2 linked regions of the Saccharomyces cerevisiae S288C genome follow. The gene in region 2 interacts genetically with the main gene of each other region. Each region holds a gene or a part of one and is shown on either strand. Other genes may lie near its edges.

Region 1 (7,961 bases), on a different chromosome or scaffold from region 2:
GTTGAAACCTACCTAGAACAGTTTAATAGAAATAAATATTGTCCAAATTTCTTTTTGGTTGTAGAATGTTAATTGTGATATTTCATAAAGCTATATTTTCAAATTCTTCTCTCGCTTCTTCCACTTTAGCATCATCACTTCTTATTTCATTTTCTTCCTTTTTGTTCATTTCTTCTGTTTGCTTATTTACATCATCGTCTTTTTTTGCTGATTCTGTGACATGTTCGTTTTCAACGTGTTCTTTTTCTTCAACCTTTGGTTGCTTTTCGTCTTCTTTCCTCTCGCTTTCTTGTTTAATGTCTACATTATCAGCTTTGATTTCATGCTCTGCTTGTCCAAGGCTTTCTGTATTTACAGTTGTAGTCTCCGCTTCGCTAGGTTCTGTTTTCACAATTTTGACAGATTCGTGATCTTGAACAGATTGTACATCTGCACTACCACTATCTTCGCCCTTTATGGATTCTGCGTTGAGGGTAGAAGGCTGTTCAGCTGCCACTTTCTTTTGCGAGGCAGGCACGTATTTCTGCTCCTGCAAGGATGTGTCAGGTTGAGATTTTTGCTGTTGTGATCTCAAGTTTTCTTGATACTTGATCCACGTTCTTCTTTTTAAAACTTCGAAATAATCTTGTATAGGACCATTAGATTTCTTATCCCTGAAGACCAATTCACCATCACCGCTAAAGTAGTCGTCATTGTCATCTACTAAATACCAATTACCAGCTTCCAAATCGTTGGCAAACGATAACAGAAATTCACCCCAATTTTCAGCAATGACAAATTTCGTATCGAAGTCCCTCCCAAATGTTATAATTTGAGCATATTTACCATTTGGACCAGGCGCCAAGTCAACACCGATATGGTTACCGGCATTGTCCGTTATTAAAGGAATCCAAGCAGGATGTGCATATACCGGTTGCACTGCATTTGGAGGAATAGATTTTTGATCTGGGATATTTGGCAGTTTGAACTTGTTACCATTTAGTCTTTCCATAGATGAAGAAGAGCCAGTAGATGTAACATGGGATAAACCTTGTTGAGATCTTTTGTTTAGGTTCTTTGCGACGTTTCTCCAGGCCTGAGTCATAGCTACAACCTGATCTAGTGTCATTAGTTGGAAGCCATAAAACAAGCCAGAAGTACCGGTCATCGATTCTAAATCTTCTTGGCCATCATGAATTTTGAAAGACGCTTTTACTGGGTTGGGAAAGCTAACTTCCAAGTCTTCCTCTGCGTGAGTGATATCGTTTTGGGTGCAAGGATCACTCAAAGTTGCATTTAAATCTGGATTATGTTCACTGGTCCAAAAATCGATGTGTCTCCAAGCTAAGAGGGTTTCAGAGACACCATCGTTTGACTCCGTGGACGTAAATTCATCAATATTTATGTCTTCATTAGATGGCACGCCATTTTGAAATCCCATGCTCATTTCCTCATCTACACTATTCAAATGCATTTGAGAGGGATTTACCTGACCATTGTTGCTGTTTAAACGTTTACCCATGTTAAAAGTAGGCGTTTCATCGGGGTTATACTCTGCATAATGGTCGTCAGTGCTGAGGGAGTATACCCATTCTTTAACTTTTCTTTTGAATAGATCCATTTTATACTAAAAAATTCTGCCAAGTTGTCGCCTATAGAACGAATGTGCGTTTATTTTGTATTTTCTTTGCGTATTGATAGTATAGCTAGTCCTTGTATATTTTCAATTTTTCGATAACTTTAGTCGAACACGAAAAAAAATAATTAGCGGATTTAATTTTGTACCTTTATTTTCAACAGGCTTGATTCTTGAATGGCGTATTTGCAAATATTTCAATATTGAGAGAAGCTAAAATTTCTAAGAATGGACTTGCGTTTGAAGATTGCGTAGCAGCGCAAAGAATTGATTAAAATGTAATTTACTCTGGAAAGAAAACACAACCTTTTCAGTTGCGGTGCAAAAACATTCTTTTGATCTCGAAGTAGGAAAACTGACATTAGAAAAAGAAAAAAAAAACAATCTGCGAATTATGCATTTCTTTTTTTCGCTTTTTTATTTTCTTTTTTCTTTTTTTCGACCTCCAATAGGGCTTTGGAAGCCCTATATGTAATCTAGGGTAATGACATATGTCACGTGCTTTAGGGCTTGGTGCCTTTATTTTTATGATTATGTGACAAGGATCTAAGGGGGTTTTCCAGATACGGGAAAAAATAAATAGTAGACTATCCTAAAAAGGAATGTAATTAACTTATGATGTACAAACGGTGGTGCAATGCATGTTAAGCCCTGCAGGTAAATGGATCAGTGCGGAGTACGCATCTTTTGCGATGTTCCCATGTAGATTGGAGCCTCTCTGCTTCGTTCTAACTCTCCTCCGTTGTCATAAAGGCCTGCGATTAGTAAGGTGGAAGGTATCTGAAGTTAATGCTAGGATTTCAAATGTATACCTTTTTATTCTCTTGAACAAATAACGAAATCCTCTACAAAAGGTTTCTATTGAAAGTTCCCAATAAGCAGCAAATTCTTCTTCCTCTACTTATCTGTGATTTTTTTTTAAAAAAAGTTAATCAGAGGCTACTACATCATTGCGCTAAAAAAAAGTAACAGATTTGCGATGTCATACGGCGGATCGGCATCCCAAGATATAGTGACAAAATTGATTAGAAAAATCCAAAATACGTCTGTGTCTTGCACCAGGAGGGATGAAAATCTAGATTCTTTTAATCAACACTTGAAAATGAGTCTTAAAGTTGCGCATAACACGAAGACATTTGCAAAGCATTGCCTTCATCGACAAGTATTCAAGAATACGTATCGGAAAAGAAAAGCAGTGGAAGATCAAAGGAAAAACTTGAACACGCAACTTAGGCAAAAATTTGCGTCGCCGTCAGACAATTTGCTTTCACCATGCTCTAGAAAACTGAATGATCACAAGTCAAAACTTTTCTCAGCCAAATCGCAACCCAAAACACTGGAGTTTGTGCGGGGCAAACAGAATATACCACGCAAGCCGAATGTAGACATTTAATTTAACGGATGATGATCATAAATTGGCCTATTTTTTTGCTGTATGTGTTACATATTATACTATATACGTTCTCCAACAATACAAGATGATACGGGGTAATACTCCTTATTCTTATTCTAGAAGACATACAAATATTTATGTTTTACGCATCGCTTTCTTTCCCTTTATTTTGTATTCACAAGTATATGGCATCTTAACATTGTTACTCAATTCTTAAAGATAATATCTAGCCTTCGCTATTTATTTGCCCCTTCCATCGATTCTTGCATCCACTACGGTATTTAGCAACAATGCTTCATTATCCAAGATGACTCTATTTGGAGAGCTAGCCAAGATCTTTGCAATGTCCCTGGCTGTATCTAATCTTTTCAATTCCACGTAGTCTCTTGATTTCTTGATGGCTTCACCAATCAGTTCGGCGGATTTGGCTTCACCTTGTGCCCTCACTACCATACCTTGTTTTTCTTGTCTGGCTTTATCAACTACAAATGCAGCCCTTTGAGCATCTTGTTGGGCAATTTGCTTTGCTTCTACAGCGTTCGTAAACTCTGGCGAAAAAGTCATGTACGTAATAGAAACATCATCCAGTAGGATATTGAATTTGCTTGCACGACGAACCAAATTCTCGCGAATCAACCTGGAAACTTTTTCTCTTTGAGTGATTAATTGTGACGCATTAAATTGGGCCACTACAGCCTTTAAAACTTCATTAACAATGGAAGGCAACACTCTTTCATCGTAATCCTGACCTAAGGTTCTGTATATGGTGGGCAATTGCACCACATCCGGTCTTGAAAGTACTCTACAGGTGATATTCACCATTTGTAAGTCTTTGGTACCTGTTAAAGAAGCAACATTACGAGGTTTTGCTCTCACATCATAAATAATTGGTGTGTCAAGCCAAGGGAAAATGAAGTGAGTACCTTCATTAAATATCCTAGAGGAAACACCATGTATTCTGGAATAAACAATGGCTCTATGACCACCATCTACATTGAACAGTGCATTATTAATGAACAGTGCACCACCTCCGAGTAAAAGCAAACCTCCCAAGCCTGCAAATGCCCCCCTTGGTGAAGGCACTTGACCTCTGCCTCCGGTTTGCTGTACCTTGGACAATTGTTTTTGGAACGCCTTTGCGTACCTTTGGAACTCACCAGGTGATCTATTCATCAGCACTAAATTATATTCTTTTCTAGCAGCCGCTTGCTTTTATTTCGTGAGCTACTAAAATACAACCTCCCCTGTAAAACTCTTCTGATGTCCTTTATGGTTTATGAATTGCCCTTTTTTGCTATTATTTCCCTTAGATGCCAAAATGAGCGATACAAGAAAAGTTTGCCACTCTATGTCGTTGATAGTGATTATGCAACACAATTACATGCAAGCTATTAAAATATCGACTAAACGGATACGGCCACATCGCAGTATTACTCATAGCAATAGAGGAAGTAGAAAGTATTTAAATGGGGCCACTCAAATTGCACACTGCTTTATGTAATCTGATTTCATTTCTATACAAAGAATATCTCTCTTACCCGGCTGTCAAGTATGATCGAAGGGCCCTTCATAAAAGGGTTCTTTAAAGAACGATCAGCTGAAGCTGTGATAATAAATGCTACATAAATGCATGCCCTTAAAACTGTATAACCATGTCTAATTATCCTTTGCATCAAGCCTGCATGGAAAATGAGTTTTTCAAGGTACAAGAGCTGCTACACTCCAAACCTTCCTTGTTGCTACAGAAGGACCAGGATGGCAGAATCCCTTTACACTGGTCAGTTTCTTTCCAAGCACATGAAATTACCAGTTTTTTGCTTTCTAAAATGGAAAATGTTAACTTAGATGATTATCCAGATGATTCTGGATGGACACCTTTCCATATTGCTTGTTCAGTGGGGAATTTGGAGGTGGTAAAGTCTCTTTACGACAGACCTCTAAAGCCTGATCTAAATAAGATAACCAATCAAGGAGTTACATGCTTGCACTTGGCAGTTGGTAAGAAATGGTTTGAAGTATCCCAATTTTTAATTGAAAATGGTGCGTCCGTAAGAATTAAAGATAAATTTAATCAAATTCCATTGCATAGAGCTGCGTCGGTGGGTTCTTTGAAATTAATTGAACTATTATGCGGTTTGGGCAAAAGCGCTGTAAATTGGCAGGATAAGCAGGGTTGGACCCCACTATTTCATGCTTTGGCTGAAGGGCACGGTGACGCAGCTGTATTGTTGGTGGAAAAGTATGGTGCAGAATATGATCTTGTAGATAATAAAGGCGCTAAGGCAGAAGATGTTGCCCTTAATGAACAGGTTAAAAAGTTTTTCCTAAATAATGTATAAGATTTCAAAACTACATATTACAGAACTTTACATATCAATATTATTCTCAAAAAGCAACTCACAAGCGTAGTAGATCCCGCTGTAACCTCCATCAGCTGGTATTTGGTCATTTTCCCCGACCGATGCAATCAACAGTAGTCCGTTTTGTTTGATGATCCTAGCCAACGACGGGCATATCTTCAGTACTTCATATGGAAGCGTTACACCTAACAAATTATTGTTCATAGCAAATTGAACCATTGTATGTATGTTTATTAGTTCCGTGTTTAAATACGACATTTTTTGAGGATTTACGGCCAGTTCCTTTAAACAATTAGGAGTATCACCTACAAATTTGCCTGTGGTTGAATCTCTGAGTAGATTTTTCATTTGCAACAAAACCGGAAAATTGGGTTGTTTCCAGTTAAGGATCGAGCAAGCTTCCCAATTGCATGAACTGAAAACTATTTGGCGCATACTCCCACTTCCGCTGTGACGCAAAAAACGTTCATGCTCGAAAATGATTAGTAAAAGCTTATCAATGAATTGATTGATATTTATAAATGGCGATATTTTGATGGGAATTGTGTCAATTTCCTTATCTGTAGGAAAATATACACGAATTACCAGCTGGGCTGACCCGGGAATAACTTCTAGTAGGCTTCTGAGAGGCACCACTCTCGAAGATAAGTATTGTTTCAATGTTACTTCATCGAAGCTTCCATCAATTTTACCGAAGTCATAATCCACTACCTTTTCCAATTGTTCTTTCGTTAAATCATTTAACAGAATCTTCGTGCCTTTGAATTCAACGTATGGTTTTGGCGCAGCCACTATGGTTTCATCATTCAGAGCGCAAACTAATACACTAATAAAACTGCCATTCAACGATGAAGAAGTAACAAAATTACCGTCTTTACTAGAGGTCATTAAATCACTTCCTGTAGATTTCCAATACGGCTCATAATTTATGATTTTCAGTGGATTTCCCGGATAAGGAAAAATAATTTGGTAATCCAAAGTGAGAGATCCAATATTATTTAGTCTTGTGTCGAATAAGGGTAAATTCATGGTTGCAATACTATTTATTGCCACCTTCTTGAAAAGGAATGGCATTGCCGTTGTTTTGGCAATTATCCTTGTGCCAAATGAAGGAAATATCTCGAAATCCATTGAAAAATCGTCGATTGAATCTACTTGGAAAATTATCTCTCCATCATCATGATCTTCACTAATTTCATCATCATCTTCTTCATCATTTGTTTCACTGATATCCTTACAAAAGTTATTAATTTCGCCAGATCTAACAGGTAAAATAACATTTCGCGGTATTATTTCAGGTAAGTTTGAGGATAAAGTAATTCTGCCTGGTGATGATGACATAATAATGCCGTTATCCTGAGTCAACTTGATAGACTCGAGACCTGGCCTCAACTTTAATTTGATGAAAATTTTTTTCTCCAAAAAATTATGACCATATTTCCTTAGTGGAATGATTGGCGGTGGTAAAGCAAAATCCGGAATGCTATCTTGAATGTCTAAATCAAATTTGTCATCATTTGGGGTTAAATCTATTGTATTAAGGCGTTGCGTACTAGACTGCGAATTTATTTCATTCAGGGGTGCAGATGGCAAATTTAATGGTCTTTGTAAAAGTGCATTCAAAACATCAACGTGGCTCTCCCATAAGGCGTAAAAAAGTGGCGAATGGCCGTTGTCATCTTCAATATCCAGACGTGCATTATGTTTCAATAGTTCAGTAATAACTTCAGAATGACCTGAACGAACAGCGTAAAAAATGGGCGTCCATTTATTAAACCCATCAATTTCGTTGGGATCCGCCCCATAACGTATCAATAGTTGAATTAATTGTGGATCGCCGCCAATTTTTGCCACTATATGAAGAGTGCATAAACCTGTTGAGTTCTTTTTGAAAAGCGGTTGACACAAGTGTTGTGAACTTTTGTTCTTGGCATTATCAGCATTTTGCTTACTCCGAATTTCTAAAAGTAACTTGGCGGCGTCATGATTATTAAATTTACAAGCAACATTTAAAGGATCGAACTGGACTTTAGTAGAGCTGATTACATTCTTACTATAATCCAGAATTGGCTTTTCAATGGGTGATGCGTTCGCACCACCAATAGTCAGCAGATCCCTAACAACATCTATGTGGTTGTTAGTGATAGCCAAAACCAAGGGTGTCTTAGAATCACTATCAATGGGATCAACGTCCTCTAAAAGATTGGTGATTAGCAACGAGTGAACAAATTCCAGTTTTCCTAGCTCTGCAGCATAATGTAGCGGCACCCGCGAATGTATATCTTGGGCATTCAGTAGTTTTTGTACTGTTTCTTTAGATAACTTTGATGTTGTTAAAGCCTCATCTAGAATAAATAAGCGTGATTTTTCTGGACAACTTGCAGCCTCGTGAAATACGTTTTTTCGTGAAAATACTTGATCATCTTCGTCACAATATGACAGATCAATATGATCCTGATTGCTTTTATAGAAAATATGCAGAGAGTTATCGTCCAAAGGACTAGCCACCAGTAATAAAAACAGCGTCGTTAAGCACTCCTTCAACAAAGAAAAGACATTTTTATGAAAAGATTCTGAGGAATTTTGTAGCAGA
Region 2 (11,361 bases):
ACATATTGGTCTCTAGATTGTGGATAAGCAGTATGTTTTTGTTCGACACATAAGTAGCAAATAACCTCAAGGAAGAATTAATTTTTACAAAAGCAATATGATTATTGAAAGTCTTTGTAGGAAGTTTTATGACTTGTAAATTATCATTATTGATTGAAGAACTTGTCACAGGTGAATATATGATTACATCATTGTTCGTATTGGTTAATACGTAACATTTTGGGTTTCTGAAATCAAATTGTGTTTGTTTTATTTCTTCCCATAATTTCCAAACTTGATATTTTCCGGAATGAGACACTGTTATTAGTGATTTATCCAAGCATACAAAATCAGAAATTTTATATTCAGCCGCCTTTTTCTCATTTTTATCCTTGCTGTTGTCATTATTGTTATCACCATTATAATCATCTTCGTCAAAATATGTAGCGAATAGCAGATTCCCAAATTCTGTGTAAAAATGAATGTTAACACTATCCTCAGAAACCAAAAGTAATATTTTATCATTAATTTTATCGCAAAGTTTTATCACAAATGGTGGTTTCCAAGAATGGCTTACTTTTTTAATTCTTGTATCAAAGCAGATTATTTTTTCTTTGTAAACGACCACCAGGTATCCATTAACTTCTAGGCAAGTCAAAAGTTCATCTGGTGTGTCCGTTAACGGTATTGCTTCAACAGCTTGCTTTTCAATGTCTATAATGCTTACAATAGTCTGCTTTTCGACGGAATCATGAGATAAAACCATTAATTGTTTATTACACACAATTGTCTTGGATCCCTTCTTCACTTCAACCAACGAGCTCTTGCTAACTTTAAAATCCGATATTGTAAGTATTTGTAATCCATGAGGGAATAAAACTATCAAAACTTCTTCATAACGCCCATCCCCGACTTTGGAAAATGTCTTGATGCCAATCATGTCTATGATTTCATAGTCAAATTTAAGAACTACTTTTAAACGAAGTTCTAGTTTTTTCACGGGGAGTTCATCAATGTTTTCTTGATTAGAAAGAAAGTGTAAAAACCCTTTTTCCTTAGTTATGCCAAATCCATTCTGTATAATTCTTGAAGAACTATTTTTATCAAATACCGTGAGAGTATCATCATCGTTGTTATAGTCATATTCAGCACTGTTCGCTTCTTCTTCACTCATTAAAAGAGGCTCTATGACGGGTATGCCGTATTCTTTGAAAATTATTTCATTTGTGCAGTTTTTTAAAATTTGGTATGTTAAAAGGAAGTTTTTATCAGTCATTACGTAAAATATCAGCTTTCCCTGGTGCCACAATAAGTATTGCGAGTCCTTTTTTGAAATAAGCCCTTCGATGATATCATTATATGGAGCTGATCGTTTCATTGATCTGTTATCGCCAAATTCCTTAAGAGAAGCCATTGTTCGTTCATGGCTAGCTACTAGTGCCATTGGTTTGAAGTTGTAAATGAGCACTCTTGTTGGGGTTAGCATGATAAGAACATTGGCCTGGGGTAGTGTCATTGATTGAAGAATATTGCAATCATCTATTTTAGTACCCTCACCTAATTCGGCGTTGCGGGGTGGAATTCTAAGCAATTGGGGCGGACTGACTGGCCATAAGTGCATTTTCCACGTGTTCAGTTTCTTACAGCTTCCGGTCAATAACACTCTTACCTTACCTTTTTTTTTGTAGAGGCATTTAGGTGTATTTTTTTCAGACTGTTTGATGAACATCAAAGGCGTCGGTATTGCCGAATTAACATCAAAGAACAAAAGCCTGCCATAAAACGACAGAAAAGACAAGATTTTGGCCAAGATGGCAACGCCATTCAGAAGTTATAATAATATGTTAAAAATAAATCGTTTGATACTGTACAAAGTTGATGTTCATCGTTGTCACTAAAAACGCTCTTAAAATCGAATTGTCCATTGAAAAAGTACATACTTATATACATATTTGTATAAATAATACACATATTATAAAAAAAGCGAAAAGGGATGGCGGACCTCCCATGGAATTAAATTGTCAAATTTGGTTGAGGCACTTAAAGGGCAACTGCAAAGATTCCGAACAACGCCATGGGGAAATATAAGCTTTTGGCATGGGCACCATTCTGTGATTGACTAGTTCTGGATGTTGAAGAAGAGTTTGATGCGGATATAAGTGCTGTTGTACTGTTTTCTTCATTAGCCATGGAAATCATGGACTGGCCTGCGTTCGCTGTCGAGAAAGGAACAGAATTGGAAACGGAGTTTTTTTGGCTGGCATAAGATGAGTTAGTCATGGTAGCTTCTGTCTCACCTGTTATGAAGTGTTGGGGAAGGTATATGGTGGTGGCGGAGGCTTTGTTTAGCAAAGAGGTATACCATGGAAAGGCCGTAATGAATGTTTGGAATTGAGTGAACGGAAAACTCTGAGCAATATCAGATTGTAAATCTGCTGTTGAGGCCAAATCAACCATGTGATAGTAGTAGTCAGCAACAGGTTGAGGTAGGGTTAAATGGTTTTGCATCATGTATGAGGTATACTGTGGAAAAGCGGTGTCGAAATCGTTTAAAAACTCCATGAAGAATGCCATGTCTGCATCTGCAGCTGCGGACCTGGCAAGTGTATCGTCATTGGAACTAGACGTTAAAGTTTTGGCAGCAAAACTGTGGCTGATTAGAAAGCTTACCAGGAGAATATTTTTAATGAGGGAGAAAGAAGGAGCAAATATCATTGATACGCAATATTTTCAGGAATGTTGTAAATGGTTCGTAACTGGATATCGAAATCACTTGATTAGAAACAATACGCCGGAATATGATCAGGTAAAGCAGAATAACAAAGAATAAACTTTCTCGATTGAGAGTGTCTTTTTAAATCATCCAAGCTCTTGAATTTTCTAGCATAGCCTTGGATGACAGCAATAAAAAATTTGCCAGGATTTTTCCCTATTTGGGCGTTCAATGAAGATAACGTTTGAAATATTAAAAACTAAAAAAAGAAAAAGGTTTGAAGCAATTAATAATTTATTAAGTTTTTTTTTATTTATCATACTTAAGAATATGGAGACCACGGGTTTTCTTACACCTGCGAAGACCTTGAACCTAATATATTTGTTTAAGAAAACAAATAAGCGATTGTTTCTAACATTAAAACGAAGTAAAGACATGGCTTGACTGAACCTACACCTCCTGTGCTTGTACTTGAACTTATAGTATTAGTTGTTTGAGAGCTTTTTGTTTCATTTCTCGACGAAGAAGGCAATGGCGTGAACTGGGTGACTACCGTAGAATTTGAGGATTGGTAATTTATAGATGTTATGACGCTGGAAGTGACTTTTGGTATAGACGACGATGATGAAGAACCGGTGAAATTAGCAGCAGCTAATGAACCAGTAATAATGCTGGAAGAGGTGGTGCTTGGAAGATGAAGTAGTTGATCGTTAGAATTTCCAGTGTCAAGAAAGGTGTATTGCACTTTCTGTCCAAGGGCAGTATTCAAATCCTGAGCATTTGAATCTGTGAGAAGTTGCGCTTGAACAATGAACAGTTGTAGTAGCACAATTGGGGCGAAAGCTAAAGAGCCAAATTGACTGATCTTCATATTTTTTTTGATTTGTTGACGAGCTATAGGATGATGAAACGGAGGGATATCAAAGTACGTTCTTCAAGCTTACAATTTCTCAAGGTGCTTTACTGGTCAAGATATTCAATATATAGCTAAATATTTATACAAAATGTTTGTTGACGGTTTGTTTATAGTGTTTTCAAAACACCACGAAAAGACTTCATTCTTGCATTCTTTTTTCTACAAGATGAGTCTATACATCTGAAACTGCGACGCCATTTTTTCCGCTGTTCGGGGCATTCTTGGCCAAATCCTCGAAAGAAATAAAACGTCAAAAGTAAAAAAGGTGGGCTAGACGAAACGTTATTATACGTCATAATTGTAGCCGTGTATGAGTGGGTGGAACTTGTATAAATAAACAAGTTCTTACTTATCATATTCTCGCATGCAATGAAATTCTCCAGATTATGACGCTTAGGTCTGGCCAGACGGCTAATGAGGTCCAGAGGAAATAGAAGGATTGTAAGCGGCCTCCACTAAATTTTGACCCCTCATACATGCTTGTTCAAACACAAAAGATTGAGGTTGAAAACTTGGCAAGAATTGGGCTAGGAGAAAGTGGCCAGGTGCTTCTTGTTCAGAACCAAGCAGATATGCTAGCACAATGTGCACCGTTCTATTTTTTTCTATAGTGTGTTTACATTTCTTGGCACATTGCGTTCGGTTTCAAATTTGTATAATTATTATTGGAGCGAGACAGGCGTTTCTGTACCGCTGTTATTTTTAACATCCACTGCGTTTTATGTATCTCTAAAATTGTGCGTTGCCTTTCTTTTGTTTATATTTTTGTTCAAAAAATGAGTTAATAATGATTTTTCATCTTCGGCTTACCGGTCTTGAAAATATTTGTTAAGACAACAGTGGATAAAATAAAACTAAACAACTCAAGCAAAAGTATTCCACTTCTTAAACAAAGCCCAACTGAAAGGTTGCGAAATACTATGTCATTTTGATTTAATCATCTAATGCTCGAGAAAATTTCAGAGCCGTAATACTTAAGTAATCGGAAGAAAAGTATCTCATTCTTCATTTTTCTCCAAATATATACCTCTTGTGTGAAAAATTAATTGTTTCCTCCACCTCCTTTGTGTGGTGGGCAATTGTGTGCTTCCGAGTAAATAACAAAACATAAGGATAATATATAATTCTGTTTTTTTGTCTAAAAAAGGTAAACTATATATAACAAACACAGTATAGAAACACAATATATCGGTCATTGGGTGAGTTTAAGCATTAGCAGCAATGGCTTGCTTAATAGCCGCTGGGTTGGCACCAACAACCTTTGCAACTTCCTTACCGTTCTTGAATAGAAGCAAAGTTGGCATAGCGGAAACTTCATTCTTTTGTGCAACATCACCCAATTCATCGACATCCAATTTATAGAAATCAGCTTGTGGGTATTGTTCAGAGAATTTTTCAATCATTGGAGCAATCATTTTACATGGACCGCACCAAGTGGCGTAGAAATCTACGACAACTAGCTTGTCTTGAGCAATTGCAGAGTCGAATTCGCTGGCAGTTTTGAATTGAGTAACCATTATTTGTATCGAGGTGTCTAGTCTTCTATTACACTAATGCAGTTTCAGGGTTTTGGAAACCACACTGTTTAAACAGTGTTCCTTAATCAAGGATACCTCTTTTTTTTTCCTTGGTTCCACTAATTCATCGGTTTTTTTTTTGGAAGACATCTTTTCCAACGAAAAGAATATACATATCGTTTAAGAGAAATTCTCCAAATTTGTAAAGAAGCGGACCCAGACTTAAGCCTAACCAGGCCAATTCAACAGACTGTCGGCAACTTCTTGTCTGGTCTTTCCATGGTAAGTGACAGTGCAGTAATAATATGAACCAATTTATTTTTCGTTACATAAAAATGCTTATAAAACTTTAACTAATAATTAGAGATTAAATCGCTTATTGCTTAGCGTTGGTAGCAGCAGTCAACTTAGCTTGTTCAACCAAGTTTTGTGGAGCATCGAAGACTGGCAACATGATTTCAATCATTCTGATCTTAGAGTTGTCGTTGAAAGACTTGTCTTGGGTCAACTTGTCCCATTCACCGGTGGTAGCGACTCTGTGGGTTTCATAGTCCTTAGCACCGAAAGTTGGCAACAAGGATAGGTGGTCCCAACCTTGAATTTCGTTGTATTGAGCCTTTGGACCGTGAATCAACTTTTCAATGGTGTAACCATCGTTGTTCAAGACGAACAAGTATGGCTTCAAGCCCCATCTGATCATGGTGGAGATTTCTTGAACAGTCAATTGCAAAGAACCGTCACCAATGAATAAGATAACTCTCTTCTTTGGATCAATTTCTTCAGCAGCGAAAGCAGCACCCAAGGTAGCACCAGTGGTGAAACCAATGGAACCCCATAAGACTTGAGAGATACCGTAGGTGTTGTTTGGGAAAGTGGTTTGGTTGATACCGAAAGCGGAGGTACCGGTTTCAGCAATGACAACATCACCTTCTTGCAAGAAGTTACCCAATTGGTTCCACATCCATTCTTGCTTCAATGGGGTAGAAGCTGGGACAGCAGCGTTAGCTGGAGTTCTAGCTGGGACAGCAACTGGCTTGTAACCCTTAGCGGCGTCAGCAATAGTGGTCAACAACTTTTGCAAAACGAATTTCATTTGGACACCTGGGAAAGTGGCGTTTCTGATCTTCATGTGGTCGGAGTGGAATTCGACAATGTTCTTGGTCTTGTAAGAGTAAGAGAAAGAACCGGTGTTGAAATCAGACAACAAAGCACCGACAGACAAAATCAAGTCAGCAGATTCAACGGCTTCCTTAACTTCTGGCTTGGACAAGGTACCGACGTAAACACCACCGTATCTTGGGTGTTGTTCGTCAATGGAACCCTTACCCATTGGGGTGACGAAAGCTGGGAATTGAGTCAAGTCAATCAACTTCTTAGTTTCAGCCTTGACGTCGTGTCTGGAACAACAAGCATCAGCCAAGATAACTGGGTTCTTAGCATCCTTGACCAAAGCCAAGATGGTGTCAATGACTTCCTTTTCGGATTCAGCATCGTTTGGCTTCAAAGACATGTCAATTGGAGTTTGCAACAACTTAGCTGGGACGTTCAAGTCGACCAAGTTAGCTGGCAAACCTAAGTAGACTGGTCTTTGGGTGACGTAAGTGGTTCTGATACATCTGTCAATTTCAGCTGGGGCGGTAGCAATGTCAGTGATCATAGCAGTGGTTTCAGAAATGTTGGCAGACATTCTGTGGAAAACAGTGAAGTCACCGTTACCCAAGGTGTGGTGCAACAACAATTGCTTAGCTTGAGCAGAGATGGATGGGACACCAACAACGTGCAAAACACCGACGTGTTCAGCGTAAGAACCGGCAATACCGTTCAAAGCAGACAATTCACCGACACCGAAGGTGGTGATGATACAAGACATACCCTTGATACGAGCGTAACCATCAGCGGCGTAAGCAGCGTTCAATTCGTTGGCGTTACCAGCCCATCTCATACCTTCAACTTCGTAGATCTTGTCCAACAAGGACAAGTTGAAGTCACCTGGCAAACCGAAAACGGTGTTAACGTTGACTTGCTTTAATCTTTCGAACAAATATTTACCCAAAGTAATTTCAGACATTTTGATTGATTTGACTGTGTTATTTTGCGTGAGGTTATGAGTAGAAAATAATAATTGAGAAAGGAATATGACAAGAAATATGAAAATAAAGGGAACAAACCCAAATCTGATTGCAAGGAGAGTGAAAGAGCCTTGTTTATATATTTTTTTTTCCTATGTTCAACGAGGACAGCTAGGTTTATGCAAAAATGTGCCATCACCATAAGCTGATTCAAATGAGCTAAAAAAAAAATAGTTAGAAAATAAGGTGGTGTTGAACGATAGCAAGTAGATCAAGACACCGTCTAACAGAAAAAGGGGCAGCGGACAATATTATGCAATTATGAAGAAAAGTACTCAAAGGGTCGGAAAAATATTCAAACGATATTTGCATAAAATCCTCAATTGATTGATTATTCCATAGTAAAATACCGTAACAACACAAAATTGTTCTCAAATTCATAAATTATTCATTTTTTCCACGAGCCTCATCACACGAAAAGTCAGAAGAGCATACATAATCTTTTAAATGCATAGGTTATGCATTTTGCAAATGCCACCAGGCAACAAAAATATGCGTTTAGCGGGCGGAATCGGGAAGGAAGCCGGAACCACCAAAAACTGGAAGCTACGTTTTTAAGGAAGGTATGGGTGCAGTGTGCTTATCTCAAGAAATATTAGTTATGATATAAGGTGTTGAAGTTTAGAGATAGGTAAATAAACGCGGGGTGTGTTTATTACATGAAGAAGAAGTTAGTTTCTGCCTTGCTTGTTTATCTTGCACATCACATCAGCGGAACATATGCTCACCCAGTCGCATGTTGTTACCCTCATGAAACATGTATGAGATATTACTTTGAATAGGTTACTTGCATGCATTTCGGCGTGCGGGTACCACCTCTTTGCATGAGCTTGTTCCTTTTTCAAGTTGAAGACTATATATTTTATTGAGTTTATGTTATGGGGAGGCTACCCTTTACGTCCTGGTTGTCCCTTCCCGCCTTGATTTGGCCTTCATTTTTTCAATTCTGGCCTTTAGGGTAGATGTCACTGCAGCGGCACGTTTATAACTTTCTTCTGAGGCAAAACTATCGTTGAAATCGATATCCAAATCGTCGGAGACACTGCTCACTCCAGTGCCGTTTTTTCTGTACGGCCGTATGTTAAGAGAGTTTACGCGGTGCGGCAGGTCGCCGATGGACTCGCTTGATCTTCTTTCATAGTTGACGTCCTCTTTCCTTCTGACATCTTCCTCCTCCTTAAATGGCAAAGCGGAAGATAAAGATTTTACCCCATAGTTGCTTGACACGGTGGAAGAAGGTATGGAGTATGATGAAATCGTACCCATCGATTGCAAGTTTGTATCATTTCTTTTCTTATTTCTATCCAATTCGATCTCCATGTTTCTAAGCTCGTTTTCTAGTGACAGTACTCTATCAGACAGCTTATTGACATCAATCTCCTTGGATCTTAATTGAATGTTCTTTTCGTTCAATTTAGACTGCGCTTCCTTTAGTTGCTCTCTTAGCATTTCGTTTTCTTTAATCATTTCGATCTTATAATTTTCTGTATTATTCATCTTTTCCAATAGGCTTTGTCTTTCTTTGGTCCATATCATCTCATCATTTTGTAGTTTTTGCAGTCTGTACTTGTATTCTTCAATCAACTTTTCATTCTTGTCAGTGCTATTAGCTACTACGTTTTTTGGCGTTGCCAAAGACTTAGACGTCAACAGGACCCTCGATTTATTGTTAGCAGCTACCATTGATGGTTTTGATGCGGAGGCTACTGACCCTATTGGGTTCACTTTACTTTTGTTATCATTTCTCAGCGGTGAAGATGCCACTCTCTTGGAGGGAAGTACAGAACTTTTTTTCAGGAGAAATTTATTCTCCATTGGCCCAGTTTGTTTATTCGTTTCAATAGTGCTATGGGTACTACCACTTGCAATACTGAAATTAGGTAGAGTTTTGACCGTTTCTTCAATTTTTTTCCTTTTCAAATTATCCAAGTGCTCTAATGTTTTCACAAAGGTATTCATGCCAAATATTTTAATTAGAATGGCGAAACTCTCAAATCCAATAGTTCTTATAGCAGGTTGGGTGTCGTTGACGATCTGAATCACAATTGGTACCACTTCATCCTTCAAGTATCTTTGCAGGGTCGAGTATCCATCTTTTTCTTCTTTCATGCTTGCATTAAACAATTGCGTACACTCCATTCTGATTTGAGGTGTCTTGTGCTTCATATGCTCCAAAATATCTTTCAACATATCTTCATTGCGTCCACTGGAGGCTAATGGATCGTAATACTTGCAGATGGTTAATAATGCCTTCCTAATGGCCTCTATCACAGAAGGTTTCTTTTCCTTTGTCCTGTCTAACAAGGGAGTGAAGACTAGTGAAACATAATCCTTGGAAAAGCCTGGTGTTTTTAGTTTGTCGCAGATTAATTCTACTGATTGAGCGGCTAGTGCAACAGCTTGAATGTTTGCATCTTTCTGGATAATATGGCCATATATCCCCAATAAGTTGGAATAATTTTGCGAGGTGCTTTTTAACTTCTTAGTCTGCGATAGAACACTATCCCAAAATTCTTCCAGCGCTTCCACTCTATCTTTCCATTTGGACGACGTTATCCTTTCCTGGAAGTCCTTAGGCAGTTTATCGAGGATCGTCTCCTCCGGTAGCATACTGAAGGTGTCTATTTGAACTCCACTTTGCTGTTTTGATGGTGGCATATCCGTTTCCATCCCCATCAATGTATCTCCATCCTTATCTATCTGATATTCCCCCTCATCATTCGATAATATGGACTTTCTTTTCCTGGCTTCCTCCTCTTGGCTTCTTTTCTTTTCCAATTCTCTTTTCTCCCACTCGAATAACATTTTCGATGACGATGGCTCGTCACCAACTTTTGCAAACAATTTATGAAGATCTTTCACTTGAATTGGTTTTAATTTTTTAAACAGTATCTCCTCTAACAAGTCGCTATTGTTGCCCGTAACCTTATAGATCTCGACAATCAAATTCATCGTTTGTGATCGAACGTTTCTATCACCATGACCGGCTAGTTGAGGTACGTGCTTTAATAATTCTGGTAGAAACGTTTGAACGTTCACATTAGTGAGCCCGAATGCAGCCATCAACTCATAAACACAATTGGCTGCCGCAGCAATTAATTTTGGCAGTTTTTTCTCGAAAAAGGGTATTACCAATTCCACCGATTGCGTAATAGATGTATCAAGACCACATAGTGAGAGTATACAGCTCATCGACTGCGTCTTCGTTGTAGCCCTTGAGGACGTTAAGCCCTTTTCCACAAGCAATGGTGTCCATGTTGATATTAAAGTAATATTATGTGCATTTTTCAAAGACGATGACGCAAAGGCATCTATTAAACTATTCAAGGCAACAATGGCTTGTTCTTGAGCGACCACATTAGAATCAGTTATATATTGTGCAAATAATGTAGGATCCCTCCAGTAAATTTGTATGTTGTCATCCCTACTGATGTCGCCAACGGAGTTTCTAAAAAGCTGGTTTAACTCCTTATAAGCTTCTAAACGTGCCTTCCATAACTTGTACGTTAATCGCTCTTCTAGGGGTAACGTTGTATAATCTACTTCTTCTTCTCCTGACATAGTCAACTTCAAACTCTTTAATAAAAACTCAAAAATACTTTACACTGTAAAGATAGCTGTTTCTTTGTAGTTTAGTAATGCTATTTGGTCCCTAGGTCTGGTAGGTTCTTCATTTACTCTTCCTATGGAGTGTCAAGCAGACAAAACAAAAACAAAAACAAAAACAAAAACGACACGAAAAAAAATAGATTCGTTAACCATGATAATCTTTGCACCATATAAAGGAAAAGACAAGATTGACTTCTAATGCCCAGCACAAATATTATCCAACTATTTAATTAATAAATTTTTGACTACTTAATCTTCAGACACAGATTCCTTGTCTAATAATTTGTTTAATTGAATATTGACAGATTTATCCTGCAGCTTGAACAAATTTCTTGCGCGAAAGGTTGCTAGGAAAATCAAAGGTAGTAAAAACATTAGAACTGTATCGAAAACGTAAAGGCACCATTCGTGCTGACCTATATAGCTTTGTAAGCCCATTAGAAATTGTACTACTCTGACAATGGTTCTACCATTAACCAGCAATATCCCAGCTAAAAG

The links. Genes that interact genetically often act in the same process or in processes that back each other up.
Region 1: mutations in RIC1 (region 2) and SMI1 are lethal when combined (synthetic lethality), as found in Saccharomyces cerevisiae (5 studies listed by BioGRID, with this or other methods).

What each region holds. Positions count from the first base shown.
Region 1 is NC_001139.9:949,300-957,260, forward strand, and holds SMI1 (Smi1p), read right to left. Parts: upstream 1,601-7,961; coding exon 83-1,600; downstream 1-82. Other genes in the region: BNS1 (Bns1p), read left to right, coding at 2,595-3,008; prohibitin subunit PHB2, read right to left, coding at 3,249-4,181; NAS6 (Nas6p), read left to right, coding at 4,661-5,347; PHO81 (Pho81p), read right to left, coding at 5,375-7,961. UniProt on the Saccharomyces cerevisiae protein: Protein involved in the regulation of cell wall assembly and 1,3-beta-glucan synthesis, possibly through the transcriptional regulation of cell wall glucan and chitin synthesis.
Region 2 is NC_001144.5:226,889-238,249, forward strand, and holds the start of RIC1 (Ric1p), read right to left. Parts: upstream 1,709-11,361; coding exon 1-1,708. Other genes in the region: AFB1 (Afb1p), read right to left, coding at 2,020-2,694; NFG1 (Nfg1p), read right to left, coding at 3,078-3,563; thioredoxin TRX1, read right to left, coding at 4,814-5,125; PDC1 (indolepyruvate decarboxylase 1), read right to left, coding at 5,502-7,193; STU2 (Stu2p), read right to left, coding at 8,149-10,815; YLR046C (uncharacterized protein), read right to left, coding at 11,113-11,361.